Linked DNA regions of Drosophila melanogaster. The protein of the gene in region 2 interacts with the protein of the main gene of each other region in a pairwise test. Each region holds a gene or a part of one and is shown on either strand. Other genes may lie near its edges. The genes, in order: bol, CG12607 and CG9135.

Evidence for each region.
Region 1: the proteins of CG12607 (region 2) and bol interact in a two-hybrid assay, tested with the Drosophila melanogaster proteins (one large-scale study listed by BioGRID).
Region 3: the proteins of CG12607 (region 2) and CG9135 interact in a two-hybrid assay, tested with the Drosophila melanogaster proteins (one large-scale study listed by BioGRID).

Annotation. Positions count from the first base shown.
Region 1 is NT_037436.4:9,124,460-9,135,169, forward strand, and holds the start of bol (boule), read right to left. Parts: upstream 5,897-10,710; 5' UTR 5,438-5,896; intron 855-5,437; exon of another isoform or gene 708-854; intron 1-707. Other genes in the region: Dhpr (dihydropteridine reductase), read left to right, coding at 10,348-10,431, 10,528-10,710. UniProt on the Drosophila melanogaster protein: RNA-binding protein that plays a central role in spermatogenesis. Required for meiotic entry and germline differentiation, at the transition between G2 and M phases of meiosis I.
Region 2 is NT_037436.4:4,442,420-4,451,892, forward strand, and holds CG12607 (uncharacterized protein), read left to right. Parts: upstream 1-4,153; 5' UTR 4,154-4,255; coding exon 4,256-4,258; intron 4,259-4,757; coding exon 4,758-5,168; coding exon of another isoform or gene 5,169-5,201; exon of another isoform or gene 5,202-5,375; coding exon of another isoform or gene 5,376-5,381; exon of another isoform or gene 5,382-5,478; coding exon 5,479-5,532; 3' UTR 5,533-5,653; downstream 5,654-9,473.
Region 3 is NT_033779.5:6,047,147-6,058,075, reverse strand, and holds CG9135 (uncharacterized protein), read right to left. Parts: upstream 7,238-10,929; 5' UTR 7,155-7,237; exon of another isoform or gene 7,009-7,154; intron 6,460-7,008; 5' UTR 6,399-6,459; coding exon 6,054-6,398; intron 5,997-6,053; coding exon 5,415-5,996; intron 5,355-5,414; coding exon 4,818-5,354; 3' UTR 4,199-4,817; downstream 1-4,198. Other genes in the region: CG13995 (uncharacterized protein), read right to left, coding at 1-505, 570-1,022; IPIP (inositol phosphatase interacting protein), read right to left, coding at 7,728-8,002, 8,444-8,662, 8,730-9,065, 9,139-9,199; CG34179 (uncharacterized protein), read left to right, coding at 9,433-9,942, 10,296-10,337; slmo (slowmo), read left to right, coding at 10,376-10,929.

The DNA.
Region 1 (10,710 bases), 4.7 Mb from region 2:
GTCAAGGAAAAAGCGGAAGTGGGCGGATTTTGCAAATTGGTTTGGTATACACAAAAAATGCTGGCTAAAAATATCATAAAAAAACACAGCAGCAGTTACAATAACAACAATAAACAAGAAACCAAGTGGTATATGTCACGCATAAAAAAAACACATTCTCCCTTCTGGCCAACAAAACTCTCCTTCTGGCCATAATAATTTGTTTTTCTGGCGAAAAATCCAAACTGCCGCCTTGTGAGCCCAAAATCAAGTACGTTCTCACACGATTTTCCACACTCACATACGTACACACACACACACAAACATAGTTTTTGATACATACAAACGTACAGCTTTTATTGTGGCTAACACACATCAACCTTTTGCCTTGTTTCGGGCCAAAATAGTAGTCGTTGACTTTTGTCAGCGGCCAGCACATAAAAATCTTGCTTTTTTACTTTTCCCTCTTGTTTTGTTTTTATATTTTTTTATGGTTTTTTTGGCGAAAAAAACGCAGTTTAAAAATACATGGCAGCAGTTTAAAAAGCGCTTGAGAGCGAGACAGGGAGAGAGTTGGGGCAGACAGAGAGGACAGGCGATGTGGTAACTGTTTGTTGTCGTTATTGTTGTTAATTGTTGTTGCAGCGGCAGAAAACGCATGAAAAACTGGCACACGCACACACACACATGCACACAGCGTTATAAAATGTAGAACTCTTTTTTTTTACTTTACGTGCGACGCGAGAGTTGTGTATTTTGGCCGAAAATAAGCGGAGAGCGGCGGCAACGGCGGATTTCTGTTATTTTTTATAATTCCGAAAACCCGAAATCGAGAAGTGTTGCAATCTCAACGACGGTAGAACAACGACTCAGCGTCGAACGAATATAGTTTCCCGATTTGGGGGCCCCCAACTGCGCAGTCGACGTCGACAGCGGCAGCGACTGCGGCAGCACAGTTCGCTCCACTCTCTCTGGCGCTCTTTGTTGCCGCGCGCTTGCTCTCTTTGAGCGAAATCCAAGGGATGCAACGATGCACGTGCGTTGTTTTAAGTTTGTGTAGTTGTGTGTGTGTGTGTGTGAAAAGATTACAATAAACACATTTTAGCAATATTACATATTTGGCCTATTTATTAAACACACCACCCACCGCCCACAACCGCCCACCGCCAATAACAACCCACTCTCTCTCTCAATCACATAATCTCCCGTTCCGATTAGAGTTGTTGTCGCCCTAGAAAGAGACGACGACTGCGACGCAGCTGTACAGTGATCTAATAACGGTTAAGGTTGCGATTATCTGATTGGCACTGTGCCTTTGCTTCGGCAAATGACAATTGGAAATGCCTGTGGCTATAATTCCAACTGGAAACAAAGTACATTTCTGTTGATTTCCAAGCATATCTCATATAAAAGAATATATATTAATTAGTAAAAAAAAAACTGATCTGGAAATTAAATCGAAATAAAATTCGTATCTTGTCCATGTTTACCTTAAATTAAATTAAATTACGCTTGTAATTAATCGTTAAAATCTTAAATAAAGTAATTTAATTCATAAAACTGCGTTTTGTTCGCATCTGCTTTGTGCTAATCTGACTGGTTTTGTTTAAAATCCAGGCCAATGAGGCGTGGTGAGCAACACCTATTTTTTGGGGGGCTTCTAGTTATAATACTAATTAACCGAATTCGTTGGGTTCTGGCCGACCAGCCAACTGGCCCTATTGTTATTCATATGGGCCGAAAGCAGTGTGCAGCGTCGGCAGCGACTGCGAAGTTGGCAGCGACGTCAACGGTTTTGGCTGGACGGGCAGCAAACACAGTTATGTTTCGAGCTTTTTGATTCTTTACTTATTGTGCAATGATCCGAGGCAACTTAATTGCTTTTCGTTTGGGTTTTCGGCTGCGACGAGAATAGCAGTCAGTCAGTTCAGTTTAGTTCAGTTTTGTTTTTCCACATATTTTCCACTTTTGAGCTCTCTTTGCGCTACGCTGCACTTCAAATGCTCAATTGTTGTCTATCAAAGGCGCACCCCCCACCACCACCACCACTGCCCCCCCACCCACACTATCAACCACTCCGTGAAACTTTGTCATTGTGGGAGGACGCATAAATAACGCCACTGATAAAAAATGGGCGAAGGGCGAGCGAATCTAAAGCTCGTAATTATGGCCAGCCAGTCCCGTCCGTCCGCTAGCTAGGTAATTTTTTTTCATTTCATTTTTATCAGCTCTCAGCGCTTCACTTACATAAGCTGGACAAAAAAAAAACAGCGGAAAACACGTTGGAAAATTGCGAGAAGCGTCTGTTTGTGAAGTTGGAAAATTTGAATTTCATCAACGGCAAAGCAGAGCGAAAGCAAAGACAGGCAGCGGACGAAACAATCATGATAATTAAATTGAGTTCACTGATGCGTATACTTAACATTAAATTCAAAGCCAGAAGCAATGCAAAAAAAAAAAAAAAACGCTGCTGCTCTGCCCCCACAAACGTGGAAAAATATATATTAAAATCAGCAACTGCTTTAAAAAAGTGTGTAGGAAAAAAGAACCTTCAACTGCCAGAGGTTTTGATTTCCTTCCTTTTTTGGTTGGAGCACCACCAGAGGATGTGCTTGTTGTTAGAAGCGGAACACAAAAAATTATATAGGTTAGCGCTATAGCCTTCGCATCCCTATCCCAATTTGGGACTTTGGGCTATATACTTGGGCATCCGTCCAGAGAGCGAGAAAAATGGCAAGAGAGAGCGAGAGAGAGAGAGACGCGTGAGCGGCGCAGAGAAGCGAGAAAATGTGTGCCGTGTTGGGAACATGCAAATGTGGGGCGACTGCCCACGCAACACCCACTTTTCCGCCCACTAACCCATCGCCAACAACAATGTTGCCAAGAATACGGAAATATTTTTGAGTGGATGCTCTCTGCGAAAAATATATGCACTACAAGAAACTTTGACAAATTATCATGCTTATGTATAATATTTAAAAGTGCCACGAAAACTAAAATTAGCATAGGTATTTTACACTATGAAAACAGTACAGTAATTTTGTTTTAAGTTTAAATCTTCAGAAAACTATAACTTATAGAATCTATACAATTTGTGTATCAGATTGTGTTTGTGTCTGGAGAAAATCAAATTAAATATCGCCTGCTTAATGTTATCAATTTAATGAGCCAAGTTGGGAATTCCCTCCTGGGGGTTGGTCAAATCGGCCATCAAAGTTGGCATGCCCCAAGCTGCGTGAGAAGGGCCGGCGGAAAATCAAAGCCACTTTTTGCGCTCTTAAGTGCAAAAATTAAACACAATCAACCCCCCAAGGCGAATCTCTTACGCTCGCCCCCCAAATTTCTCTCCGCTTTCTCTCTCTCTCTCTCTCTCTGTCGAATTTCTCGTCCGATATTTTCCCATATCATTGGCTCTCATCACTGCTCTTCGTGTGCATTATTTATTGCTCTTATACAGCCCGAATGTTTGACGATGACGAAGGTGCTCCACTGTCAGTGTCACCACCCCCGCCCACTCTCTGTAATTCAGATTCCCCCTAGCTCTCTCGCTCTCTCCCTCTCGTTCGTCACCTTTCCCTTTCGCTCCCTTGGCTGGAGCCCAGTTAACTAGTAAACCAGCAACCTATAATGGAGCCTCTTCCGTGTTGTTATCCCTATCCCACGACGTCGCGTATTCCCCACAGAGAGAAAAATCATCGGCCATTAGTCATGAATTCGCAACGGTTATGATGTAATGATGAATTATCTGGGGAGTTGTTTTTGGATACGTATTTGCAGTGCTCTCTACCCTTGTCTAGAATAAATTTCCACCTATAAGTAGTTTTTAGAGATAGACATCTCATGAACGAAAGCTGTTTCCTTATCCATTTGATCTCTACTCATACAAAGAGATTCTTGAGATGCAAACATATGCAGTATGATATGATATGAACTCTTTCACTGATTTTTCTCAGTGCACTATCCCAATTCTATCCCTTTTTCGCATCCCGGAAAATGAGCACCAGCTGTCTGCCATTTGCCTTCAATTTTCCCCATTCATGTTTGTTTTGCTTTTCGCCTGACTGTATAATAAATAACTTTGAAATAAATCAAATCGGATCCTGGGCCAATGGACACATGTTAAATGGACCGAGAAATCTAAGCGGGGCATCATCACATTTTTTTATTGGATCAAAATCAACAAGAGCAGCGTCGGCGACCTTAAAACGCATTAGCAGCCGCTGTCGGCCAAGTCGTAATAATTTTATTAGCAAACATCAGAAATATAAAAATGCCGCTGCTCGGAGGCAAAAGAAAAAGAAATAAAAGCGGCTACAATTTCGAAAGGTGTTGGCTTTTTCAGAAGTTCAAATTCAAACGGCGTGTGAGTCGGTGGGCGGGGGGAGGGGCTGTGACAAGTGCAGGCGTGCTCAAGGTAAAAGCGCCGCCGCCGCAGTCGCCGTCGACGCTGACAGCGCTGTCGACTGCAACTCGGCCGAAATCCGAGTGCAAGATCAAGTGAAGCGAGTGGCCGAAAAACTAGAGAGAGGCAAAACTACGAAAGTCGGAGAGCGAGCCATTTATCATTTTACATCACAAAAGATAAGCTGGCGAATAGGAGATACTCAGCATATACATATATGTACATTCACATACATATGTACATACATGTGTAAGTTAAAAAGTAACTATCTTTGTATAAAAGAATCTAGCAATTAATAATAAATAAAAAAGCAGTTCTGCCTCTAGGAAAATTATATTAGGGCCTAAAAATCTCATGTATTGACCTTATATTATTATAATATTATTTGTTATGCTGACAAAACCACATATGTTTTGTATGTACTAATTATCAATATTTCGTGATATGATTAAACGGTTTTATTGTGTAGAATCTATACTAATAAGCTGTTCTACAATATTCCCTCACATAAGTACAGGGTATTTAAGTTGGTCGCGCGGGTGACAGACATTCTGTCTTTTTCCCACCTTTCGCCGCCCTCTCTTTCGCACACGTGCAGCGGCACTACATGTTGTTGTTTTGTTTTTTAGGCATTCTGGAGGCGATGCTGTTTAGGCCGCTTTTAGTCAAGTGGCCGTGCAGCGACGCCAACTGCGGCAGCGCAGCTGCGACTAGATGAAAAAGAACAAATTGACTAAGCACGAAACACGTTTTAGCCAGAGTTTTTAGCCAGACTAGCAGCTCGAATCGGAATCGGAATTGGAATCGGTGGGAGCGGGACGGCGTGTGACATACTGACCCAATTCCGGGTTTCGATTTTCTGGTTTTTCTCAAGAATACACGTTTTCCGCTGCATAAACACACACATAAGCGTACGCGGGAGCGAAAGAGGCAGAGCGGCCAAACGAGTTGCATGGCCAAGAATTTTCGCCTGGCATTTTTCATTTTCCCTGCGAGTGACATTCATCCTCCCCCCACCCAAAAGCAATCCCCTGTTCTGTCATCAGGAAAACTCACCGTTAGCTGCGTCCTCCTTGGAGATTTTTCTGATTGCGTCCAAACTACGTCGTTTCCACAGGCTGCCTTACGTTACGTCTTACGTGAGAGGGGACACAGTTTACAGTTACAGCCTTTGCGTATCATTAATATTCCTTGTGATGAACGTTTATCCCAGATACGATGCGTTTGTATATATGTATCTTAATATCCAGTATTCAATATCAATATCAATAACGTCGGTGATGAACAAGAACCAGAAGACCAAAAACGATGGGATGATGGGATGATGGGATTTAGCTTGATATTCTCTTGGTTTCTTTTGTAATTTAATTATTTGCTCTTCTTTCTTTTCCGATATTTAGTGGTGTTTACTTGTATATATTATTGTTGTGTGTTCCGATTTAAAACAATTTTACTTGAATATATATATATATAGCACTAGACAACTTACTTCCTACGAATCACAATTAGAAATGAGTGTAAGGCGACGACCGAAAGGAAAACTCCCGTCAAAATGAAAAACTACGCGCCGTCTACTTGGGCGGCCGAGAAAAACCAAAACACTGTGGCGACACACCACATGTGTTTTTCTCTTCCAAAAAACCCAAAATTCCAAGGATGGTGGGGGCGATTGCAAAGGAAAATTGAAGCCAGGAAAACTCTCTTCAATATTTACCGTTCACCGTTTAGCGATATAGCACAACAATTTTAGTTCTACAACTGCTCTCGTGTAATGATGAACTCCAATTAAGAACACAAGTCCGTTTTAAGTTGAAGGCAGCCGTCGGGCTGACATATATTTATTCAATTTCTTCTTTTGATTTTAGAGTAGGCAGAAATGGTTCTGTCAGCTCAACGTCTACAGAGTCTCTCCGATTTTACAGTTTTTTATATATTTTGACTTAGGCTAATCCGCGTAGCTGCGCTGCCGGGTACGCCAGCAGCGGAGCGGCGTTCTTATGTATATCTTATATATCTAGGCTTATCGGGAGAGCGAGATATGTATGTACGTATGTAATATGTATTTGGTCGGCGTGTGAATGCTGACCATGCACTTATACTTTTTGCCTTCGAGTGGGCAATGCACTTATACTTTGTGGCCTTCGAGTGGGTGATCATGTTACATCCGCCCTGGCCTAACTGCGTGCATAAACATAAACATAGCAACAAAGTGCTGCCATAAGTTAATATGCTATTTTATTTAATTGTTCTTAATATTGCATAGGCACATACTACATCTCCCTCCTTTTGAAAAATAACGTAACCTAGTGAAGTTATTTTGATTATTAAATGCAAATTATTTTATTTTTATTTTTATTTTGTTTGTGTTTTTGTTTGAACAACAATAGTTGATTTTATAATGCAAAGATAAAAATATACGTAGTGTATGGAAAATTTGTATAAATGATTAAGGAAAATATAAGTTTAAATTCAATCATGAATGAAATTTCTTTAATCTATCTTTATGAACTATTTGTTTTTTGTTTTTATTAGTAAGTAGCGTAATATTGTTATTATCTCCTATGCTTTCTATCTTATAGGGCCCCGTATATTTAAAGTCTAATTTATGACCTACCTCATTTCTTAGTAAAACTTTATCTCCTACTTCTAATTCTATGTCTTTTATTTTTAAGTCATAATTTTCTTTATTTTTTTCTTTGTGTGCTTCAAGAAGTTTTCTTGCTCGAGCATATGCTACCTCTAACCTATATTTACTCTCCTTAGCGTAATCATCTATGTTATATATTGGTTCTATGCTATGTAGTTTATTAAAATGTTTTGGTAAATTACTTGTTCTACCGAAAACTAATTCATATGGACAATAATTATGTACCATAGATTGGGTCGTGTTGAAGCAGTATACGAAATATTGAAGCCATACGTCCCAATCGGTTTTGTCCGTCGATATGTAGGATCGTATATACTCGTTTAAAGTTCTATGACTTCTTTCTACTACTCCAACTGTCTGGTGGTGATGAGCTGTTGATGTTATATTTTTTATTTTCAAATATTTACACAGGTCAGTAATTATTGAATTCTTATACTCTGTTCCCATGTCCGTTATGAACGTCTTCATTGGACCGTACTTTAGAATAAAAGATTCAAATATAGCTTTTGCGACTGTTTTTGCGCTTTTATTTGCTATTGGTATGGCAACTAAGTACTTGGTTAAATCACATATGAGAGTGACTGCGTACTCGTTACCATTTTCTGACTTGGGTAGTGGACCAATTGTGTCCACAACAACTCTATCGAAAGCATGTTCTGGTGTTTCAGTTATCGTCATTGGAGTCTTTGTGTGCTTTGTTGTTTTTGCTTTTTGGCATTTTTGACATTTTCTTACGTACTCTTTTATGTATTTACTCATATTTTTCCAGTAATAATGTCTTTTGACCTTGGCCAAGGTTTTTGTAATGCCTGTATGCCCTCCTTGTATTGGATCATCATGTAATGTAGACAATATAGCTTCTTTTTCTTTTTCATTATTTATTTGGGTCACCGGGTTAAGTAGCGCTACTTTTAAATTCTTTAATATTTTATTGCCCATATTTTTAAATTTATCTATTGAAACGTGTTCAAAGATTTTTTTCCACGGTGCCATTTTGATTTGGCTGATATCATATATACCGGCCTGCAATTCAAGCCTTTGGAGAAATTGATCTAAATCAAGAATTCCATTAGTATAAAGATCACCAACATCATATCTTGCAATAATTTTCTTTCCATGTTTAAATAAACATATCGAGTCATTCAATTGCAATGTCACTACTTTTCGTACCTCGTCATTTGTTATGACTTCGTATACGTTGGGCTCTGAAGCTATTTCTTTGGTTTGCTTTTGCAAATCCAATTGTTCTTTTCCTGCGCAGGATTTTTGTCTACTTTGAAATCTTGTAGTGACTTTTAATATATTTCCAGTTATATCTTTTAGCTCTTTGATGGTTATTCTTGATAACGCATCTGCTACATGATTGTCCTTGCCCTTTAGATACTCTACTGTAAAATTATATTCCTCTAGTTCAAGCCTTATTCTAGTTAATTTAGAGCTGGGGTTCACCATCGAGAATAAATATGTCAATGGTCTATGGTCTGTTTTCACAGTGAAATGTTTTCCGTAAATGTATGGTCTGAAATGTATTATTGCCCAATGAATTGCTGCTAACTCTTGTTCTGTTGTACTCTTATTGCTTTCACCTTTCGTAAAAGCTCTGGATGCATAAGCAACTGGGAGTTGGTGGCCATTATGGTTTTGAGTTAAAACTGCGCCACACGCTTGCTTGCTTGCATCTGTTGTTATGCAAAATTCTTTGCTGAAGTCTGGGTACTGCAAGAGTGTTGGGTTAATTAGCTGAGATTTTAAATGTATGAATGCTTTTTGACATTCATCTGTCCACTCGAATGGAACATTCTTTTTACATAATCTTGTTATGTGCCGCGAATAGTCGGCGAAATTTTTGATAAAACGTCTGTAGTAATTGCAAAATGCTACAAAACGTCTAGCGCTGTCCGCATCATGTGGAACTGGGTAGTTCTGAATGACATCATATTTTTTGTCATCCGGCAAAATTCCTTTGTCTGTGCATTTGTGTCCCAAAAATGTGACTTCATGCATGAAAAATGAACATTTTTCAGGATGTAACTTTAGGTTGTATTCCCTGCATTTACCAAAAACTTCAGTGAGGTTTTTAAGCATATGTTTTTCGGAACAACCTATGACTATTAAGTCATCCATATAAAGGAATGCTTGAGACGGTTCTATTCCGGAGAATGCTATAGTCATCATTCTTTGGAATGAATTAGGCGCTATTTTTAAGCCAAATGGCAATCGCGTGAAACGATATGAGCCATTGCTGGTTGAGAAAGATGTTATATCTCTCGAGCCTTCATCCAGTTCGATTTGATGAAAACCTGACATTAAATCAAGGCAGGAGAAATATTTTGCTCGACCAAGTTGGTCCAAAATATCATCTATTCTCGGTAGTGGAAATTTGTCAGCTAAAAGTTTCTTATTAATTTGGCGATAGTCTATTACTAATCTCCATTTCTTTTTATCAGAATTCGGGCTTGACTTTTTGGGTACTAATAGCAAAGGGCTATTGTACTGTGAAACTGATGGTTCAACTATTTTATCTTTTATTAATTTCTGAACTTGGGCTTGTATTTCTTCCACTTGACTATGAGGACTTCTATAATTTTTCGTGTATACTGGCTCATCATCTTTTAATCTCAACTGTTGTTTATACAAATTATTAACTGTTATAGGTTCTGATTCTAATGCAAATATATCTATATATTCGCTGCATATATTTTCTAATTGTGATTTAAACAATTCGGGGAAATTTTTCTTTAATTGAGATAAGACAGTTTTATTTCTGTGTTCACTATTTGCCTGAACTACATTGTAGTTCGAAAGTGGCTCATATTTTAGAGTGTCCATGACGTAACGCGACGACGACTGGTGGGACTGAGTGGAAAACACAGCTACGGCGCGTAACTCTGGTCTGGTGGAAATGCGGCGCACGAATTTCACGCATTTCCCTTTTCAAAAAAGAGCAGCGAGCAATGCGTGAGCGAGACGGGTAAAGTTGGCGGCGAACAGCTGTGGAATACCAAAAAAAAAAAATACCAAATAACGCCTTACTCACGACAGTGTGACCTTGCTGTGCGTTTTCTGGTCATCTTATTGATTTTCCACTTGTTGCTGCTGCTGTATCTTTTTGTAGCGAATAAAAAGCTATATCTGCACGCTGAAGCTTAAACTCGACTTGAAATTCATTCTCCCGATTATTACCGGTAGAACTGGTCTTGCGGTTAAAAACCCCAGCTGCGTTCAAAGCTCCCGCACGATTTTGACTCACCAAAATCGGTGTTCTCGTGTTTTTCTCGCATTTAGTTAAATTGCAACTTTAAAACTGGCAGCACGCATCATGTCCGCAGGTCGAGTGGTTATTTACGGTGGCAAAGGAGCCTTGGGTTCGGCCTGTGTCGATCACTTTAAAGCCAACAATTATGTGAGTTACCTTTCACTTAATTATTAAATACAATTGCCTCATTATCTATTGTTTTCCCTCGCGTCAACTACGACCTTCACCTGGATAATCCATCAGTGGGTTGGCAGCATCGATCTGACGGAGAACGAGAAGGCCGACGTTAGCATTGTGGTGCCACGCGATGCTAGTTGGGTGGAACAGGAGGAAACGGTGGTGTCCAAAGTCGGGGAATCCCTTGCCGGCGAGAAACTGGATGCCGTCATCTGCGTGGCTGGCGGCTGGGCAGGTGGTAATGCCAAG
Region 2 (9,473 bases):
AGTTATAAACATTTAAATCGATCACCTCTCTTTGGGTTTTTGCCGAGCTATAACTGGTTGCTGGACTTCGTGTCAGGGTGGGTTTGTCACAGAACTAGATCACATCGATCGTTTCGAACTATCACATTAGCCTTTTAAGCTTAGTGCCAGTTTTATTGGGTGCAATTACTCAAAATTCAAGTTCACTGCCAGTCGATTACAGCACAATCGCAGGGTATTCTTGGGTATGTCCATTGGGGAAGTGTATATATCCATATATGTCTGTTTTATGTTCGATTTTTGCTTATCTGGATTGCCATATTTACGCTCTACTAATGAAATGTTGAATCTGACCTTAATTCTTGAGTTATAGCCAAGCAGTTCCATATGCAGACCAAATTGAATCCTCATTAGCATAATTTGGTTTATATTTATTTTAATAAAACAAACCCAGGTCATTTGATTGTTCTTTAACTAACTAATAAATAATAATTGTACTTTAATACTACTACTAATATACTAATAATTATATATTTGACAAGAAAGGTATCCATAATAGTTCGAGTTGGGCTGCAGTATGTAGCAAAATTGAACATTTTGTGACAATTAGTCGATTTAATTATACAAATTGGCCACTACGCTTGCATGAGCTTCAAAGTTCAATATGCTAGTTCACATGTCTGAGTTTGCAGCACGAGCCGGCCAAAAAGGTGCCAAAGTGGCTAAATTGGCAATGTTCACAGCCACCGACGTCGAGATATCGCTGATGCTTTTTTTCCCCCTTCGGCGGCATCGATTTCATTGTTTGCTGTTGTTGCGAAACAAATTATAGGGGTATATAATAAAAAACTTATTATTAAGTTAAACAATGATTAGATGAAGCTCTTTGTGGCCATTCTCATTCGCAAATCGTCTTTCGATTCTCGTGACCATTTGGCTTTTATTTTATGTCGATTCTGACTAATTTCAATAATTAATTTATGCTTCCCATTAAATGTTAACGTTCTTCTTCGGCAGCTTTCACTGTGCGCGTGTCCCAGACCGTCGGTCTACGACGACTGGCAATCTGCCCTGGCCGGTTAAACATTAAACATGTCGAAACACCTGCAAAACAGGCAAGTTATATGCCATTCCAGAGAGTTCTTCGATTTTGGAATCAAAGACAGACTAACTGTAGGTCAAGTGATTGATCGACGTTAATTGGTAGAAAACATTTGTTCACTCAAATGCAGAGGCGGAAACGAGGCTAAGCATTAGGATTTATAAGCTATTTTAAGACAATTTATTGAGGCGGTTATAAATCTTTCAAGTACCCCAAATATTTTGAGGTGTTGCAATAAATATTTCTGGGCCTAGATCATCATTACTACCCTACGAACGGGTAACTAAACTTTGTCCATCACTGTTTATTATGTTTGTATATATTTCTTGACAAGAGTATGCAAAAGTTTTCAATTGTCTTTTCAACATGATATATTTGCCATGCTTCAGTTGTTGTTTGTTATAATTTTTTGCGTAAAATATTGAATATTCATATTGCCGCTGGTAGACGTCGTGGTGAATGTGCGGAAGCTTTGTTAAATAAAGAATTCCACATACTACTATTTACGAAGCATTGTGTCTAGAAACGTGATAAAATAAAAACACGGGAAAGGTAGAATGGCTTGAGAATCTTCGCTTGGACAAGGTCAAAATAAAATTGTATTACAACGCCACACAATGTCTTCGCTTTTAAACTAGCTCATTTTACTAAGAAAGATGTCAAGACATAAACGACCGTTAAAAATGTTTTATTTTCTGTTTATTCACACGCGCATATTCAAATGCTAAACACAGCTGGTGACCAGAAAACGAGGCGTGTCTTACCCCAAACCAAATCTCTTGGCAGCAACTGCGGCTATAAAAGAAATATTCAAAAAGCACGGGGCTGACTTTGGAATCCTTATCAGGTGACTAAAATCGCTTGTAAACACACCCAACCAGAAATCGATCGCCTATGAAATCTGTGTTGTATTTAACCCCGGTCGCACAACAGGTCGCATGCTTAATATGTATGAACGTTTAGAGCAAAACAAAACGAATTTAGAGAGGCACGTGAAATTGACTGGATTCTGGCTATGGGCAGGCATAAGGTAATAAATTTCAAGAATCTTCGATTACCGGCATTTAGCCAAAAAAAAAAAACTTCTATGGCGGCTCAGGGCTTTTGATTCACTTGGTGCGATATCTGGTTCCTGTATGCAAATTGGGCAAAAGTAGTCACCTTGTTTCCGTACACACAAGACACGATGATGGAAAGATCAAAAACATATTTTACGGGGATATTTATTTTATATTGGCATTAACATAAATAAGAGTCAAGAGTCCGTTAATATAAATGTTATCACGAAGCAGACAGCTGCACTATATCGAAATCGATTGTTGGTCGCATAAATCTGCCCCGCCCTTGTCATTGATTTACGAATGTATAGACTTATAACCATAGGTAGAACGATGCTTTTTAGACGCAAATGACACATTTTGCAAGTCAAATCGCTGACTCAATAGACAATGGCCGCAAATGGCATAAGCAGTCAATAATGAAAGTTTCGCGGGAGATCAAATTTATGAATTTGAAACCTAAGATGCCAGCGGACCAAAGCATTATTAATTACATTTTAAATTTTCTAATAACCGTAAAAACACACGATAAATTGTTGTTTGGTGTTTATTATTTTGGGTAGATTATGAAAAATGCTGCATAAAACTTGTATGTTTCATCTCTGGCCGTTGACAAATATTCCATCAATCAATGCAAGTGAAAGGCAGCAAAAATGATGTCACACGATGGGGTCAGAACCATTTTAAAGTGGGCTTATAGCCATAGTTATATTCATGGTAACATCTTTACAAAGCCCGTTGGTATCTGCGTCGAAAATGGCTTAACAATTTCCTGTCTTAGAGCCACTTAATCTTTTCAGGACGGCCTTGATATCAAACAAATCATTTTTATTGGCACTGCATCTATGGCTCAAGTGGATTCATTCACTTGACGGTGGCAGGTGAATGTATTTCCCCACACACACACATGAGAAACGGAAATGATGTATGACCAAAAGCCGTTAAATTTGCTTATTGTTGCCACTAAGGTCAAGTGAAGATACAAACAATCATGCCAGCAGTCAAACCAATGAATGAAAGAGGGGGCTACCAGGTCGGCTGGCAGATGGGCAAGCAATCTACAAATTGACATGGTGAAGTCAAGTTTTGTCTTATTGAAAACATAATCAGTACGCTTGTATCCAAGCTTGGGCTATCACTTCGATGACTAATCTTTCCCTTGGATAAACTCTGGCAAGATTTTAGCATACTGGAATAGAGCCACTTCAATATGAAAATATTATTCTAATAAAAAATTATGCAAATTACTTCAAGCAGGAGACAAAATGAAAGACTTAGGAAACAAACTTTAATTGAGGCACGCGCTGTGAAGAGACAAACGGCGTTAAAATCAGAGTACATACACTGATAAAAATTGAGTAAGGGGAATTTTATTTGATTTAAATGAAAATTTTATTTCCTGTTCTTGAAAATCAAAAGACTTAAGACACGAACATTAGTTAAAGAGTAATTGTGTGAATGAAATCTTTCGAATCCGATTTCCTGTAAATGTCACATTTGCTTAAAGAAATTGTATTCGATATTTTCAAAACAAAAGACTTAGGCAACGAACATAGCCAAAAATCACATAGCCCTCTTATTAACATTTATTTCGCCACCTTTTGAACAGTGTAGATCTCTAATATTGTGGGCCTTTTTATTTGTGCGTCATGACTCGTGACGACATTTAAGTGATTGTCCAAAGGGTCCCGGCAGCATCTCACAGCCCGTCGGCATCTCCAGCATCCTCTTCTAGTCGCCGATTCTTCTCAATTCGATTCGTTTCATTTAATTTAAATTTTGATTTGAATTGCCTCTGCTGCCGTTGTTGCTTTTGGTGCTGAACGTTGCCGCTTCTGCTGTTAAGATTTTGTTTTTGCCTTATTTATAACGCGGTGTGCGGTTTGTGTCTCATCGGGTTTTGGTTTTTGGCGGTCGCCGTCGCTCTGCCCAGACTCTCTTAGACCCACGTAGCGAACTGAACCGAACCGGACGGACTGAACGGGCGATATAGTATAAATTTCATACCCACTGACCAGCTCATCATCATTTGTGCTTTGAACTTCTTAAGTGTAAATTGCTCGTTTGCTTCTGCTCGAGAAAATTTCGTGAAACCCCAAAACCAAAACAAACAAAAATGGTATGTGATCCTTGCAACAAGGACAACGAATTTTAGTGATATGCTGCTGTTTTAACCAGGATAAAAACGAAAAACAAAAGACCAAGTGAAACGTGATATAGAACTATTCAAATTAGAAACCCAAAAATAACTCTCACCACAAGTGCCAACCAACCCGGACTCAAGTGCTCTAAACGACTTCATCAACGCGCTGTCCCGTTTCTAGTGCTCCTCGGGACTTGATTCACTTCACACCCGTGCCGAAGCCACGCACATGATTATGCTTCAGAATGTTCTTAAAATAACAATCTCACTCACTGGCAGTTTTTGAAATATCTGTTAATTTGTATATAGCAGATTTTGACTTAAACTGAGGTCATCCATATGGGATGATAATATAAAAAGTTGTGTCCCTCAAATTGTTATAAGTCTTAGACTTATTGCAGTTAAGGACATAGTCATTCAAGCAAAGAACTAGGTAGCAGAATTGATGGTAAATATTCTCCTTTTTTTTTTGCAGAAATTCTTTTTGCTATTGGCTTTGGCCCTTGTGGGCATTGCTGCTGGAGCTCAGCTTCCTGACTCCGCCACCCAGGGACCCAATCCTCAGGATATTGCCACCCCGGAGCCGGAGTACATTGATATCGACGAACCTGCACCGGTGGCTGCCGCACCTGCTCCTCGTCCTGTGGCCGCTGCTCCCCGTCCCGTCTTCGCCGCCCCTGCTCCCATCGCTCGGCCAGTTGCTCATCCAGTGGCTCGCCCCGTGGTTGTGGCCCAATCCTTCGTCCAGCAGCCCGTCCAGCAGCAGATTGTCCAGAGGGCTCAGTACGTGGCGCCGGTGGCTCAGCAGGTGGTGTTGCCGCAACAGCAGCTGGTGGGACACACCTACAACAGCAGGGCTGGATACCAGTACCGCCGTCCAGTCTATGTAAGACGTTTCTATCGCCTGCGCCGCTACTAAGAGGACGCAGCTAGATCTTAACTATATTTAATACGTGCTCGACAACCCCAGTAATTCCTCCTATTTTGTCGTTTCTCTTCCTTCTCCTCCACTCCTCACCTGCCTGAATCAACTCTCTACGCACCAATCTTCAACTCAAAAACCAATCAAAATCAAAACCCAAACCGTATCAAGCATTAACAATTATCCAAATCAACACACACATTATCACGCACTGATCCACACTATCAAACTGTCCAACTATCAAAATATCGTATTATAACTATCCTAATCCTAGAACGAAACCATCAAAGAAACGACCAACAAGAAGAAGTCAAGATCAAAAGCATAAAGAGCGAAGTACAAAGAGACAAATGATGTTCTAAAGACAAAGATCGAAAAACGAAGTATTCAGTTATTGTTGAATTGCCCAGTAAAGTACGAATAAATAAACGTAAATTATTTGTAAAAATGATAAACAAATTTTTGGTTCAACTATTTCATTCATCTACCAAGGCCAATCAAACTGGTCGGAAAAAACGGGGGAAGAGTATCAGGTTTTAATTATATTATTCACAGCTCATCAAAGCACAATAAAGTGTGTCGAAATTGTACAAAGATTCGTTCTCGATTTGATGAGTACCCCCCATCGGCATCATCGTTGCTGGTTCCTCATTAATCATGGATTGCCATGAGGAAAATGTACTTGCCATCTAATATGGACATTTGCATACGGAAGCTGCGTATCTGAGCACTTGGGGTCGACTTATTAACAAGTGGCTGGGAAACAATTTCTGTGTTGCGTGGTGTTGGCACTCATTAAGACTACACTGGGCTTAAGTGGTGCGTCTTATTCGGCTAATTAGGGAGAATTATTTATGCAGCTTCTTGCACGACTCTTGACGGGTCGTAAACCGAAACTAGCCGCAGCTTAAACAAATAGAAATACATAAATCTACTAGATTACTTTCAAAATACATTAAGTTTAACCGGTTTAGACATCTTCTGAACCTGCCAAGTTGTCCCAAAAATACACACAAACGACCACTGGCCACATAGTCAAATCAGAAGTGTAAACAATCCGATTTAAAAGCCATAGTCTGTCCGGGTGGTCAGCTTTTGAGACAATGTACTATTGATTGATGGATTGATTGTCAATTTGATTGCCTTGCCTCAGCTTCTATTCAGGGGCATTAACAGTCACTTTTGTCAGTGAACTATGACAAACTGGGTCTTGATCCATCCATTCCATTCCACTTCACTCCACTCTACTCCTTTGTATGGATGGCAGTGGTGACAGGCGGGAAATTCATCATCGGAGGTGCTTCCGTCTTGGCTGGGATTTTTATTTATTCCCTGGTCAATTGGCATTAATAGATCGTTGTGGCCTAATGACTGAATGTTGATTACACGGACTTACACACCCATATTGCAACTTGATTTTAAAGTAGTAATTTGTAACCGGACCTTGTTTTTTAATTTATAATAACATTACAGCACTTTTCTCACAACCAGCATTGTTGAACGCTTTATGTGTTTAATTGCTAAAGGATTTTCTTCTCATAACTGCTAAAAATCAAAACTGTTATACTCTCATGTTTAAAAGCATACAATGGGGCAGCATTGCAAATTAAGTTGCGTTTAGATATTTTGACGAAAAATAGGCTACACTAATTAAGTAGACTTTAAAAAAAAATTTGAAAAATTGATTTCGCTAAAACCATAATGCACTAGCCCAACATATCCTGTATATTTTAATAAGCAACTTTATATAAATATATATGTCTAAGTGATACCTCAACTAATTTTTATTACGCAAACAATACGTTTTCGGCTGTTTAAAAGAAGTCAGTGCAATTAATACATACCGCATGAAAAAAGGCAAATTAGTTTTATTAATGGTTTTGTAATCTGAATATCGTGTAGGTCAGATTTAATAGCCATTTTAAATTACATTTGATTTATTTTTTCTGTTCGTGTTGATGGATTTATTTCAATTTTATTTTATATTGTTAATTGACTGCTCGAACATAATTGCCAGCATTATATTCATCATACGCAAAGTATGCACAATCAAACCCGAAATATTAATGTAGTTATGATCCACGTCCACGTCTAGAATGATCCGATATAAGCTAACTTTCAATTAGCATTTCGTCTCAAATGCATCAGCAAAATGATCGTGCCAAAAAATAAGGAAACAAATAGTTGGTTTCATTAGTGGCGAATAAGAAACAGGCTAGACCGCCTGTTCGAGTGGGGTCATCAGTTTTTCGGTTTTGCTTTCTAAAATCAATGATTTGACAGATAATTTATGGGCCATGTTTATTTAAACGGCGCTACTAAGAGCAACAACCGTAGATAAAACTCTTAAGTAAATCATTGTTGGGCGTTCAGCCAAAGATAAACGTAATAATCTTATTAATTTGCATTTGCTGACAGAAAGAAGCGGGTGGCTATAAGGGAAAACTGGTTCCCAGCCATTAGATCATGAAGTTGATTTGCATAAGAGCAATTCATTTTGTCAACAAACATTCCACGGGCATCTTCTCCATTGATGGCAGCACCGAAAAAATAATGTTTAACTTCCTGATCGCATTAATTTCACTTTCACAGCGATACAAAAAGGTTCGTGTCTAACAATACGCACCTGACAAAGTGGATTAAGTGAAATTAGTTTTCGCGGTAATAAACTTATGGACAAGACCAGAATACTGGCACACATAGCAAATAGTGACCCCCCAAGTCACTAACAGTGAAATAATAGTGAAACGAAAACATTTTCATTCAAAAATACAAAGTTAAGTTTCTCGAACTGGGGCTCCGCTGCCCAGCTGCCACGCGATCGCACAAACAGCTGTTTGCGAGCTTAAAGCTTTCTATCCCAGGGTTCAAGTTTTGGCTAGAACCCTGGTGATTTGGTGCACACTTCAATATGAACACTTTAAATGAAACCGCTGCGGCTGATGAATCGTTGGATACTGCGTTTCTCTCGAGCCCCCAATGTGCTGCCCCGCAGCGCTTTCAAAAAATAAAGCGAAAGTCTCGTGCTTCTCCGGAGACTGAAAGGAAAAAACCCAAATCAACCATCGGCAAACAAGGGGAAAACCCTTCGGCTACAGAACCTAGATATGGCGGCAATTCAAACCGATTTGGTTTACTTGCGCATCTCACAGCTGACAAACAAGTAGGCAATGAAATTGGCGATCTGTATGACCAGCCCAGTACCAGTCATCAAGCTGCAATTGCTGCCGCTAAGCGGGATGCAGCCTCCGCTGGTACCACTAGCTCAGCCAAAAAGGCGCAGTCCAAACCACCTCCTATAGTAATGGAGGGAGTGGACGACGTATACCTGATGATGCAGAGCATCGAAAATATAGTGGACCTAGAAAAGATTGAGGCTAGGGCGTCAATTAGGCTACACTAATTAAGTAGACTTTAAAAAAAAATTTGAAAAATTGATTTCGCTAAAACCATAATGCACTAGCCCAACATATCCTGTATATTTTAATAAGCAACTTTATATAAATATATATGTCTAAGTGATACCTCAACTAATTTTTATTACGCAAACAATACGTTTTCGGCTGTTTAAAAGAAGTCAGTGCAATTAATACATACCGCATGAAAAAAGGCAAATTAGTTTTATTAATGGTTTTGTAATCTGAATATCGTGTAGGTCAGATTTAATAGCCATTTTAAATTACATTTGATTTATTTTTTCTGTTCGTGTTGATGGATTTATTTCAATTTTATTTTATATTGTTAATTGACTGCTCGAACATAATTGCCAGCATTATATTCATCATACGCAAAGTATGCACAATCAAACCCGAAATATTAATGTAGTTATGATCCACGTCCACGTCTAGAATGATCCGATATAAGCTAACTTTCAATTAGCATTTCGTCTCAAATGCATCAGCAAAATGATCGTGCCAAAAAATAAGGAAACAAATAGTTGGTTTCATTAGTGGCGAATAAGAAACAGGCTAGACCGCCTGTTCGAGTGGGGTCATCAGTTTTTCGGTTTTGCTTTCTAAAATCAATGATTTGACAGATAATTTATGGGCCATGTTTATTTAAACGGCGCTACTAAGAGCAACAACCGTAGATAAAACTCTTAAGTAAATCATTGTTGGGCGTTCAGCCAAAGATAAACGTAATAATCTTATTAATTTGCATTTGCTGACAGAAAGAAGCGGGTGGCTATAAGGGAAAACTGGTTCCCAGCCATTAGATCATGAAGTTGATTTGCATAAGAGCAATTCATTTTGTCAACAAACATTCCAC
Region 3 (10,929 bases), on a different chromosome or scaffold from region 2:
CCCCACCACAGGCCGCTTGCTGGGCGTTGGGGCAGCCCGTCACAATGACCATGTGGGTCTGGCGTCGCAGGATGGGAATGGGCAGCGGCAGCTCTCCATGGGCAGCTCGAGCCGTTAGCGACAGGGCGCAGAGCTTGCGTCGGACGCCGTAGTGGTTGAGTAGCACACCAATGCCAGGCAACACGAACACGGCGATGGTGTGGAAGATGATGAAGGACATGAACATGGCGTTGGCGCCCAGGTCGGAGGTGCAGCTGATGCTGACCGGGTTTGGCGTGGTGTTCGCCGCCCCACCGCCCTTGACCACCATCGACTTGGCGATGATTTTGTAGGCAAACAGAAAGGGAGTGCTGATGGCGGCAGAGGCGAGCCAGGATAGCAGCGCCAGGGAGACGTGCAAGTAGCGCCGCTGGCGAAGCTGCGCCAATCGCGGATGCTTTACTGTGGCGTAGCGGTCAAGGGAGAGCATGAAAAACGAAATAGTGCTGGCCGAAACGGGCATGACCTGAATAGCGTGGGGTTAACTTAGTTACTTGGCTAACTTAAGCTTGTTTGATTGACCCACTCACCTGTACGTAGTGTATGACCTTGCACAGCACAAGGGGCAGCGATCGCGTCCTCCGGTTCATCGCGAGATTGAGGAGCGTGACCGGAGCGGAGATGCCGGTGACCAGGAGATCGGCAATGCAGACGGCCAGCAGCAGCGGGTTACGCAAACGCACCGAAGAGGCGGAGCAGAGGGTCAGAACGAGCGTGGAGTTGCCCACGACGCCGCCGAAAACCACCAGGCCATAGCTAACAGCGAGCAGGAGCAGCGTCAGCGGGGAAATGGAGTGCTCTGAGTCCACGTCATACGGATTGCCTAGACTAAAGTTGCCATAGTCGTAGTCCGCGGGCAGCTGGTTGGGCTCCTGGAGGGCGAGATGCAGCTCCGCGGAGTCCAGGCCGAGGTCATCGGTGGGCTCTGGATGTTGGCGCCGATACGAGTTCTCCCACCACTGCTGCAGATTGTCCCTGTTCATGCTTTCGATCCCGCGCCAGTATCCCTTGCCGACACCGATGCTCCTGCCAGTTGTTGTGCCTGCACCTGTTCCTGTGCCTGTGCGAGTTGCCGTGTCCTGGTCCGTACTCTGTTTGGGTGATCTTCGATGACGAGGCGCTTGCCTGGTCGCCTCATTTCATACTAAAGGAGCTGCCGTGCGACGGGCGACAAAGGAAGGTAGCAAAGTAACAAAATGCCATCATCATCAGTCTTTTTGTCTGCCAACAAGGACACTACTACCACACAAACACCCACATAACCACCAAGCACAACCACATCCCCGCCCCGTTGACACTGACACTTATGCAATGCTGGCACGAGTACGAATGCGAACAAGGCGCACTTAGAGATTACTGATGCTCTTCCTTCCGGGCGCCACCCACCGCTGCCCACTTCCACCCATCGGCTGCGAAATGAATGGCCACGCAACCTTGCACTTTGTGCACTCGACAAACCGCCACAAGGTCCGCCCTATGCCCTCCAATTCCTGCCAGAATCAGAGACGCTGTTTCTGTGCTCGCCAGGGACGAATGGTTCGAATGTTTTTCGGGGATTTCCCCAATCAACGGAGATTTGGAATGTGGCACTTTGGGGCAACCGAAATCAATTCAATACGGAGCAGCAATTAGTCGCAGATTAAAAGTGTGTGCGGTGTTCATGATAGAGTGCATGGGGTAAGGGTCCTTTGTGGGCTATTCCCATGCGGTGATTCATATCTCTTGCATGGCATGGCAGTAAATTTTGCTTCATTAAAATCGGATGACTGTAGAATTGGGCAGAGCGTTAACGAGATGTTGAAGCCATTTCCGGTTTCATATTAAATTTTTAACTGCCTTGATTTAAGTATCAGTTCGGTAGTATAAACTAGTGGAAATGGAACCCCTTTTCTAGCGACCTCCACTGTCATTCGGTTCAGATGATGGCTGCCACTGACATCGCTGCTCCGCTGACGTTAAGCCCCATCGAGGAAGCATGTCTGGGAAAGTTTTCGCTTAATTGCGCGAGAAAGCCGAACAAACAAGTCCTTGCTCGTCCTTGTTGATATTTAAAGGACAGCACCTGCAGTTGAAGCCCCAAAAACACACTCTTCACCTTTAATGACAACAGACATATTTTGCTATAAACGATACACCGAGAGAAAAGCATCAATCTGCATACACTTGATATATGTATGTTTAAAGAGCATGGTCTTAACTTAACTCGTTTTTTGAACCCTCTTCACATCTGACTCGATGGATTTATGGATTCCTTGAGCATTTCTGTGTTGATCTTTGTTTATATTGAAGTCACGCCCCCACAAAAATAATTCGGTGGTGGAGCAAATCGGGCGGAATAATTTTGCAAGTCACAAATTAGCATATTCGACTGCTGACGCCTTTTTGGATAGACAGGCGGTGATTCTGAAGGCTCTCGACTTGGGGCTACTCTCTTTCTCTACTTTTGCTGGCAAGCGGATTGCGGCGATCCCAGAACTAAACGAATTGTGTATGTATTAATTTGCGTCACTCAAACGTCAGCAACAAGCTCAAAAGGTGACAAAAGCCAGGATGAAAGAGGGTAGGAGCTGGATTATGGGGCACAAGGATGTGCCCGCCAGGAGAGCCAATGAGGTAGGTGAGCGAGAGAAAGCGATGATGACGAGATTTGCCATTGTTGTTGCTGCCGATATGAAAAGTGTCCGCCACAGGTGACTTAATGTGCCACAAGCAGATACGATATACACACAGCCGTGGTTTGGGGGGCGGTAGTCCTGTCTTGGCCGAGGCGCAGGATACACAGCCACATCCACATCCCTGCGCCCTGCCTGCCTTTCTTTTCCTTTGGCTTTAACGTCAGCCAGCCCGTAGCTTTTTGTCTGTCTTTATTGATTTCAGCAGCTTTTATATTCGTATTAGGCGGACGGACGGATGGGTATGGTCGGGGATGCCGGGGGTCCTTGTCCAGGCTTCTTGTTCGTTGGCCTATTCGTGACCGCCACAATGGCCAGCAAACAAGTCTTTGTATCTGCGCGATGAGAAATAATTATACAAGGAATTTATAGTCCTTTTTTTTTAAATGAAATTCCCTCCTTAATTTTAGGCTCCATTTGGTGAATGGATTTCGGGCAGGACACTTTCTAATTAGTTTCGCAGGCGATGGTCGCTGGCAACGCAATCACACACCCACATCCGAAAAAAGGACACCATAACTAGTGGAACAACAGCGAAAAATAATGTTGCACACACGCACACACATACGCTCGCAAACAAACCTATACATGCACACATATATACATGTGCATAAACAAGGATTCCCCCACTGCGTATACGTAATGTCCTACCGTGTTATCCTTAACGAAGTGTGTTGAGGCATTTGTTGCTGATCCTGCTGCTGCTCGATGTTGTTCTGCGGCGCTTTCTTTGTATGGAAGGCACTGTAATTTACAGTTAGATCGTTGCTGTGCCGCCTTTTCAATATATTTAATTTAGCAAATATGTATTTCGTGTGCAGAATGAATCGCCGTACACTTGTAAAAAACGCTTTAAAAACTCCTCGAACTATTTTGTTGATATTGTCAAATGTGCGCGTGTGTGTGTGTGTCTGTGTGCGAGTGTGCGGTCGGTGTTTGTATGTATGAGTGTCGGGTGGGGTGGGGGCGAAAAAAAGGTAAAATGAAACTCAAGGCGCGACGTGCAGGGATTGTTCCTCAGCGGCGCACATTACTCGACAGGACCACGGCGGAAGACTGTGTCAGGGAAAAATCCGCCGGAGCTCCGGCCGCAAAGTCGCACTCCGAAGTCAAGAGTCCTCGCGCGCGAGAGAGCAGAGAGACTCGGCGAGAGAGTGAGAGAGAGAGCTTTGCGCCGGAGCTTTCCGCACTCTGACTTTCGCTTTCAATCGGCAGGACATCAGGACTGAGGACTCAAGGCTGGGACTGGGACTGGGCCTGGGAACTCAGTCGGCACAGGTCAGAAATCGGGGTATACCGCCAAACATCCCTTGGCGGACTGACCTACAGCTACCCCAGTGCGGCTAATCCTTGATTCCAATTTGTTCTTAGATTCGCCGCTCTACAGTCAAACCTCCATAAAGTTTCCTGCTCGATAGGAAATATGTGTGCCAGCTATAAGTAGCTTTAATGTTTACCATTCAGTGAAAAGCCAGTGATAAACGAGTGCAGTCTAAATACTAACATTCTCTTTATTTAAATATTCCTTTGTATAAGATTAAAATGCATGATGTACTATTAATAGTTGCAACTGGTATTGGATTTTTCCATGGTATACTTTTTATATGTAACCTATGCGCTTAGTTCGTTAATTTACGTGTTTTGTAGTTTTGTGGTTGCTTTTGCTCACTCTGTTCGAAATGAATGCAGAATACTGTAACTTGTTACGTTTAAATTACAAATTAAAAATTAAAAATGGGTAATCATGCTTTTTATGCATCTTTTTAAGCCTAAAGGTGGGCGGCAATAAATTATAAAAGGGGAACAGGATCAGGATGGAATAGTATCAGTTACAAGAATAAATTAGAGTTTGGAAACATAATCAACTTTTTTTTTCCGTTTTCTGAGATTATCGTATAGTATGTAGATAGCGAGTTTAGCGTAATAATAATCTTTTAACTTATAGCATACATTTTGCTGGATTTTTGTGTTTAGTTTCACTTTCGATAAGTAGCAGCAGAGTTTCGATGATCAGTTCTGAGAATTTCCTACATGGAGCAGTATTGTTGTTGGCAGCGGTAAACGTGTTTGCAGCAGCACTTGGAAAGCCGCACACCATCTAATCACCTAATCATCGATAGTGTACTCGGGCATCTTCTCGTACTTTTGCTTGGTGGCCTCATGGGTGGTGTCCACAAGCAACACCGTGTGCGAGTAACCCATAGTCACTTGAGGTATTTTAATGTTGTCCAACTTTGGCACCTCCTTGGGCACCGTCGACGACTTCTGGAACTCCCCAATGCCCAGCTCGCCAAACGTGGGCGATGCGCCCCAAGCGATCAGTGTGTCGTCGGCCGAAATCATAATCGATGTATTGGCACAGCCAATGTCGGTAATGTTCCAGCCGGAAAGATCCTGCACTGGCTTGGGGTACATATTTGCCTCGCCCGTCTTCTTATTCTGTCCGAACAAAAACAGCAGGCCCAGCTCGTTGACGATCAGACTGAAAGTGGAGCCGCAAAAGACGCTGCGCCCACCCCGACCCTGAGTATCGAAAAACTTCATTAAACGCGGCACCATTTCGTCCTTGGGCTCTGCGTGTCCGAGACGCCCGAAACCGCCAAAGCCCCAGCTATAAACGCGCTTCTTGGAGTCGATGGCGACCTGAAGAGAAAAATGTAGTTTAGACTTGAAATAAGTGGGGAATGGAGATTATCCACATACCGTGTGATTATTGCCGCAAGCAAAGTCAACTATCTGCACGCCATCGACTGGCGTTACATGACCCTCCTTGCTCTTCTCTATGTACAAAACGACCTTTTTGGGCGACGTCTCGAAATGGAATGACAATTTGTTGGCGTTGACAAAGTACTTGGCGTCAGTATTGTGTCCCAACTGACCGTACTCCGGCAGCCCAAATGTGTGCAGGCTACCTTTAATGTCCAGAATAACAGAGAACTCAGCTCCGCAACCGATGCGAATGATCGGCGGACCTCGGTAGTTAATTGGCGTGGGCGAATAAATGTTAGCATGCGTATTTCCCACACCGCACTGGCCGGACTTGTTTTCGCCGCAGGCGTATACGGTTCCCGTGTCAGTGAGAAACAGAGTGTGGTGCCGGCCGACAGCAGCTTGCACTATGTTCAGCTGTTCGAGGGCCGGAATAATGGTGGGCTTCTCCGCCAACTTGATGTCTTGGCTGAGGCCCAGCTGGCCGCTGGGATTACGCCCGAAACCGAGCGCCTTGCGGTCCATGTTGATAAGAATGGTGTGTGCGGCACTGGGTCCGCTGGCCACATATCGGTACTGCGAAAGAAAAGAACTCAGAAATCAAGTGGACCACGACTGTGCGGAATAGCTTACCTTCTCTTCTGTGAACCGATGGAAGCTGTACAGATTCGGCCGCACCTTCGTGACGTTCTTGCGGTCCCGCTTGCCAGTCAGGTCCCAGGTCACCATGCCGGCGATCAGCATCTGACCTGGAGTCTTCTCTAGCGTGGCCAGCAAGTCCTCGGGAAGCTTGCTAGGCGGGTCGAGGTCGTCGTGGGGAATGAGAACCTCCATCTGGTTGGCGGCCGCTGCCTGCTGCTGCACGCCATCGTCGTCGGACTCGTCGCTGAACTCGTCCTCGTAGTCCGACTCCTTCTTTTTGGGTCGCCGCTTGTTGGGTCCGGCTCCATTGCCACCTGCCTTTCGCTTGGCCGACATTTTCTCGCTAGTACTGGGTTGTATTGTGGACTGGACTGGTCTGGATCTCTCTGCTCGGCGGCTGGAAGGGAGCAATGTAGAAGATAAGTTCAAGCCCTGAAAACCGGAACCAAACTTCACACGCAGCAGAGCGTAGCGCGCACTGTGTTTATGTTTTAATCTTCATGAACTGCTGAATACGTGAAATCGAAGTAGGAAGGGTCGTAATATTAAATTTAAAAACACGTTACGTTTTTACGTTATGTATTTCTATATTTGGAAATAGTGTTTCAAAATATCAACTAAACATAATTTTCAAAACGGTAATTCCGGTTTTCATGAGCTCAGCTTCGCATAAACGGTCCAAAACCAAGCCGCTCTCGGCCGCTTGGTGGTGTGTGTTTGCTGTGCTCGCGTCTGTGTGACCCTGTGTTTGTGTGGTGGTTTTTGCACAGAAACAAAATGAAAGCCGCAGCAAGCGACGCCAACAGATATAGTGAATATTCCTAGCCTTTGATAAATGAGTTCTTGATACCCGAAAAACTACGCATTGTGTTCATAGTTTTGGCTTTCAAACTAAAAAAGTCCATGCCGAAGTTACAGAAAAGACAATGCCCGGCGCAAAATTCACCTTTAAAATGGTAGCGTCACTTTACAAACACAGAGACATTTCACGGCTTCAACGAATCAAATAAGTTTGCTGACTTCTTGCAGTCTTTTAACCATTTCGGGTTGTGTTCTTTTACTCAAATATATTTATCTAGCGGGTGAACTTACAGTTCTGTGTGCGGCTTAATTACTTTTCACAGCTAAATTACAAACAACAACGCTAGGTTACAGAGCTGGAACATGTATCGATGGCTGCTCGCGATTATCGATGTTTCCACAAAGCAACCAACGTCGATGTTTTTGTTTTCTTAGCAGTTATCGATTATTTTCGCCGTTCACACTGGGTTTTGTGTCTATCGAATTTTTAAAAAATATTATGTTCTAAATAACAATTAATATGTGGTCTATTCATTTGGACAAAAAAAGTTTTGTTCTTTCATATGTAGAACTTTGTCATCCAAAAATTAGGTTTCTTTAAGTTATCCATTTGAGTAATCCCAACATTATGTTTAACTTTAAAACCAACTTAGTCCTTCAATTCTAACAAATAACCTAAAAAACCCAATTATTAGTATGCCCACATAACTGAGTGCGCCATGATCGCCGAAATTTGTTATATCTAAAGTTTTGTTTATTGAAACAAACATGTATGGAAATTAAGCATAGTTCATTTGAAACGTATTTGATTTAGCACAAAACGGGTAATACATTGGCTTTTTGTCGGAGCAGCCCACTCCTACATCACAACTGGATGAGCGGCTGACCCTGGCGCTCGCGGTAAGCGGACACATCCGGCATCAGTTCCCTGCGAAAGCGCTCGTGGTTGCGTGCGAACTCCTCCAGTGCTTTGACCTGGCGACGCTGGCGCTCAGCACCGTTGACGGTGCTGTGATTATTGTTGGCCGCTCCCGGATCCCGGACATCGGGATAGAAGACGCTGTTCGCGATGGCAGGAGCGGGCGTGGGACGGCGCTGGGCCCTGGGCGTTCCGCTGGGGCTTCCGTTTCCGTTTGCGTCTGCAAGTAGAAAGTGCCTGTAGCCTGGCTTTGGGAATATGCAACAGATTTTGCAGAGAATGTCGCTTAGTGGCATTCCGCTGACTAAATTAGATCGGCTCTGGGTAAATGGCAACGATAAGCTGGCAATCGAAGTTCGGATTATACTGAGAGCACTCTGCTCTTATCTCTAGCTTCTACTAACGGTAGACTCACATTGTATTGGGACAAACAAACAGCTGGCTTTGGGGCCGAAAAATGCCGTATGATTGTATTTAGGCAAAGTTGTAGTTCTGCGGTTATCTATTGGCCAAGTTTCCCACTTAAAATTAGCTTTTAAAACTCAAAGCCCCGAACATGGTGATTCATTTCGTCTTTCAATTTGGTCACTTCCGTTCAGTTAATTTTTGCATTACTATACCCACAGCATTGTACATCCATTTTAAGAGTACGTGTTCATACCTTGCTTGCTCATTAGCTTCTCCTGCTGCAGGCGCGCGTTGCTCGATCCGAAGTATCCGTTGATAAATGGCAGGGGCGACATGACTACTCCGCCCCTCAGCGAACTGTCTGGTGGAGGAGGAGCGGGTCTGTTGAATGGATTTGTCCGCCTGGGCGGCGGTCTAGGCTTCGCACTCTCCGATGCATTTTGTGGTCCGTCCAAGGCGCTGCCGAGCATCTCTGTAGGTTAAAGAACGCAGCGGATTAGTGCACAGGGATTGTAGGATTAGCCATTGTGCAGTCTCACTGTTTCTTGCGTCCTCCATCTCTTGCAACTGGCGTTTTAGCTCGGCCAGGATGATGCGCTTATACTCGTAGCCGGCGCATGTTAGCGCCTTCATCCACGTCTCCATGCTGTCTTGGTTTTCGGCGGCGAGGATGTAGGTGCGATTGCCGTTGAAGGCGATCTCGAAGCAGTAGTTGTCCACCTCGTTAGACAGCTCAATGGTGCAGCCCTCGACAATGATGAGGCCCAAGGGCTCCTTGTCCAAGCGCGACTCGAAGTAGAAGAGCAGGTTGCCTTTCAGCACGAAGTAGCGTCGCTGGAAGGCCTTGTTGACCTCGCCCCGTTTGTTGAGGAAGCCTGCAAGGCGTATCGGTGTGTGATAAATGGATTATGATTATTAATAGACGAGCGAAAGGGCTCGCTTGCATACCTTCCATGTCGAAGGGCGGCGTTCTCGCGAACACGTACAGGTTCTTCTCGTTGATCTTCATGGCTGCACTGTCTCGGGCTGCATTCGAAGCAAATATGGGTGTCCTATTTCCGCCTTTCGTCTCTTATTATTGTGATGAACAGGTAAAAAAAATGCAAAGCGAGAAACAATTGACGCTGCGCGAACAGCTGATGGCCAGTGCTGCCACACCTCCACCGGTTATCGATTGCTGGGTGCGGAATTTCTAGTTTTCAATGTAGATTGCAAACATAAACGAATTTTGAATCCTGCGAAATGTCGTACTTACTCACGGAAATCGCGCTGGAGATGCTGGGCTACAAGTTCTACGACACCAATGGCACATTCCACCTGACCAATTTTCAAAACAACTCCACGCTCAGCGAAACGCATCCCGATGAGCCCTCCCTGCAGGAATTCATTGAGTACACAAATGAGGAGCTGAAGCAAGACGCGCAACAGCAGGAGCCGCACACGCTGGCGGTGCAGGAGGAGTCGTACCTGGATGCCCCCACCATACCCGAGTCACGCTATGCGCGGCGCACGCCGGCCAAGGCGCTGGCCAAGATAATGGACTACGAGAGCGAGAAGATAGTCAACCAGATCAGCACTCGTCTGGAGGGCTCGGTGTCACGTCGGGCGGCGGCGGACAGTGACGAGCAGCTGGCCGAGATCATCAACGAGGAGAGGAAACTAATCGAGGCGGATGCCGAGGTAATACACAACTTTCGGGAGCTCGTGGAGAGCCGACTACAGCGATTGGATAAACGGCCCTACGAGAAATACGTACGTACCTTCGGGCCGCAATAGGAAGCTGCACGTGCAATGTCAAAGTGCCGCCATTACTTTTAGAATTAATTTAGTTTATAAATTTAATAAATAAGTTACCGCTACAGGGTGCCTGCGGCACTTTCATTTTCTCTTACTGCGCCAGTGTGACCACCCTAGCCCATGCACTGGCCAGCGATAGCCCCATCTATCGGAGCCACTGTCATCTCTAGCAGCACAGCACGAGTAAAGGTCAGCTCTCGTAACTTGTCTCGGAAATATTCAATAATTCCGAGATTGCCGTCAAAATTCGAGTCGTGTACTTCAGCTAACGCTCCCCCTGTTTAATTCCGTTCCGTCTGCCCCCGCAGGCTCAGCTCAGCCCGCATCTCGGCTGCCAATTAAGGATATAAAGCCCTCCCCGGACGGTGACGACAACGGCGCTTGCATAATGAAAATCTGGACATCGGAGCACATATTCAACCACCCGTGGGAGACGGTCACGCAGGCGGCGTGGCGCAAGTACCCCAATCCGATGACGCCCTCCATCATTGGCACGGACGTGGTCGAGCGCCGTGTGGTGGACGGCGTCCTGCACACGCATCGCCTGGTGCAGTCCAAGTGGTACTTCCCCAAGTGGACGCACGCGCTGATCGGCACGGCCAAAACTTGTTTCGCCAGCGAACGCTCCACGGTGGACCCGGAGCGCAAACAGATGGTGCTGAAGACAAACAACCTCACCTTCTGCCGCAACATCAGCGTGGACGAGGTGCTCTACTATGAGCCGCATCCGTCGGATGCCAGCAAGACGCTGCTCAAGCAGGAGGCCACCGTGACCGTCTTTGGTGTGCCGCTGTCCCACTACATGGAGGACCTGCTCACCTCGACCATTAGCACAAATGCCGGCAAGGGACGCCAGGGCCTGGAGTGGGTGATCGGGCTGATCAACACGGAGGTCAAGGGCATCGCTCGCGGCACCGACGAACTTCTGCACAACACACGGCG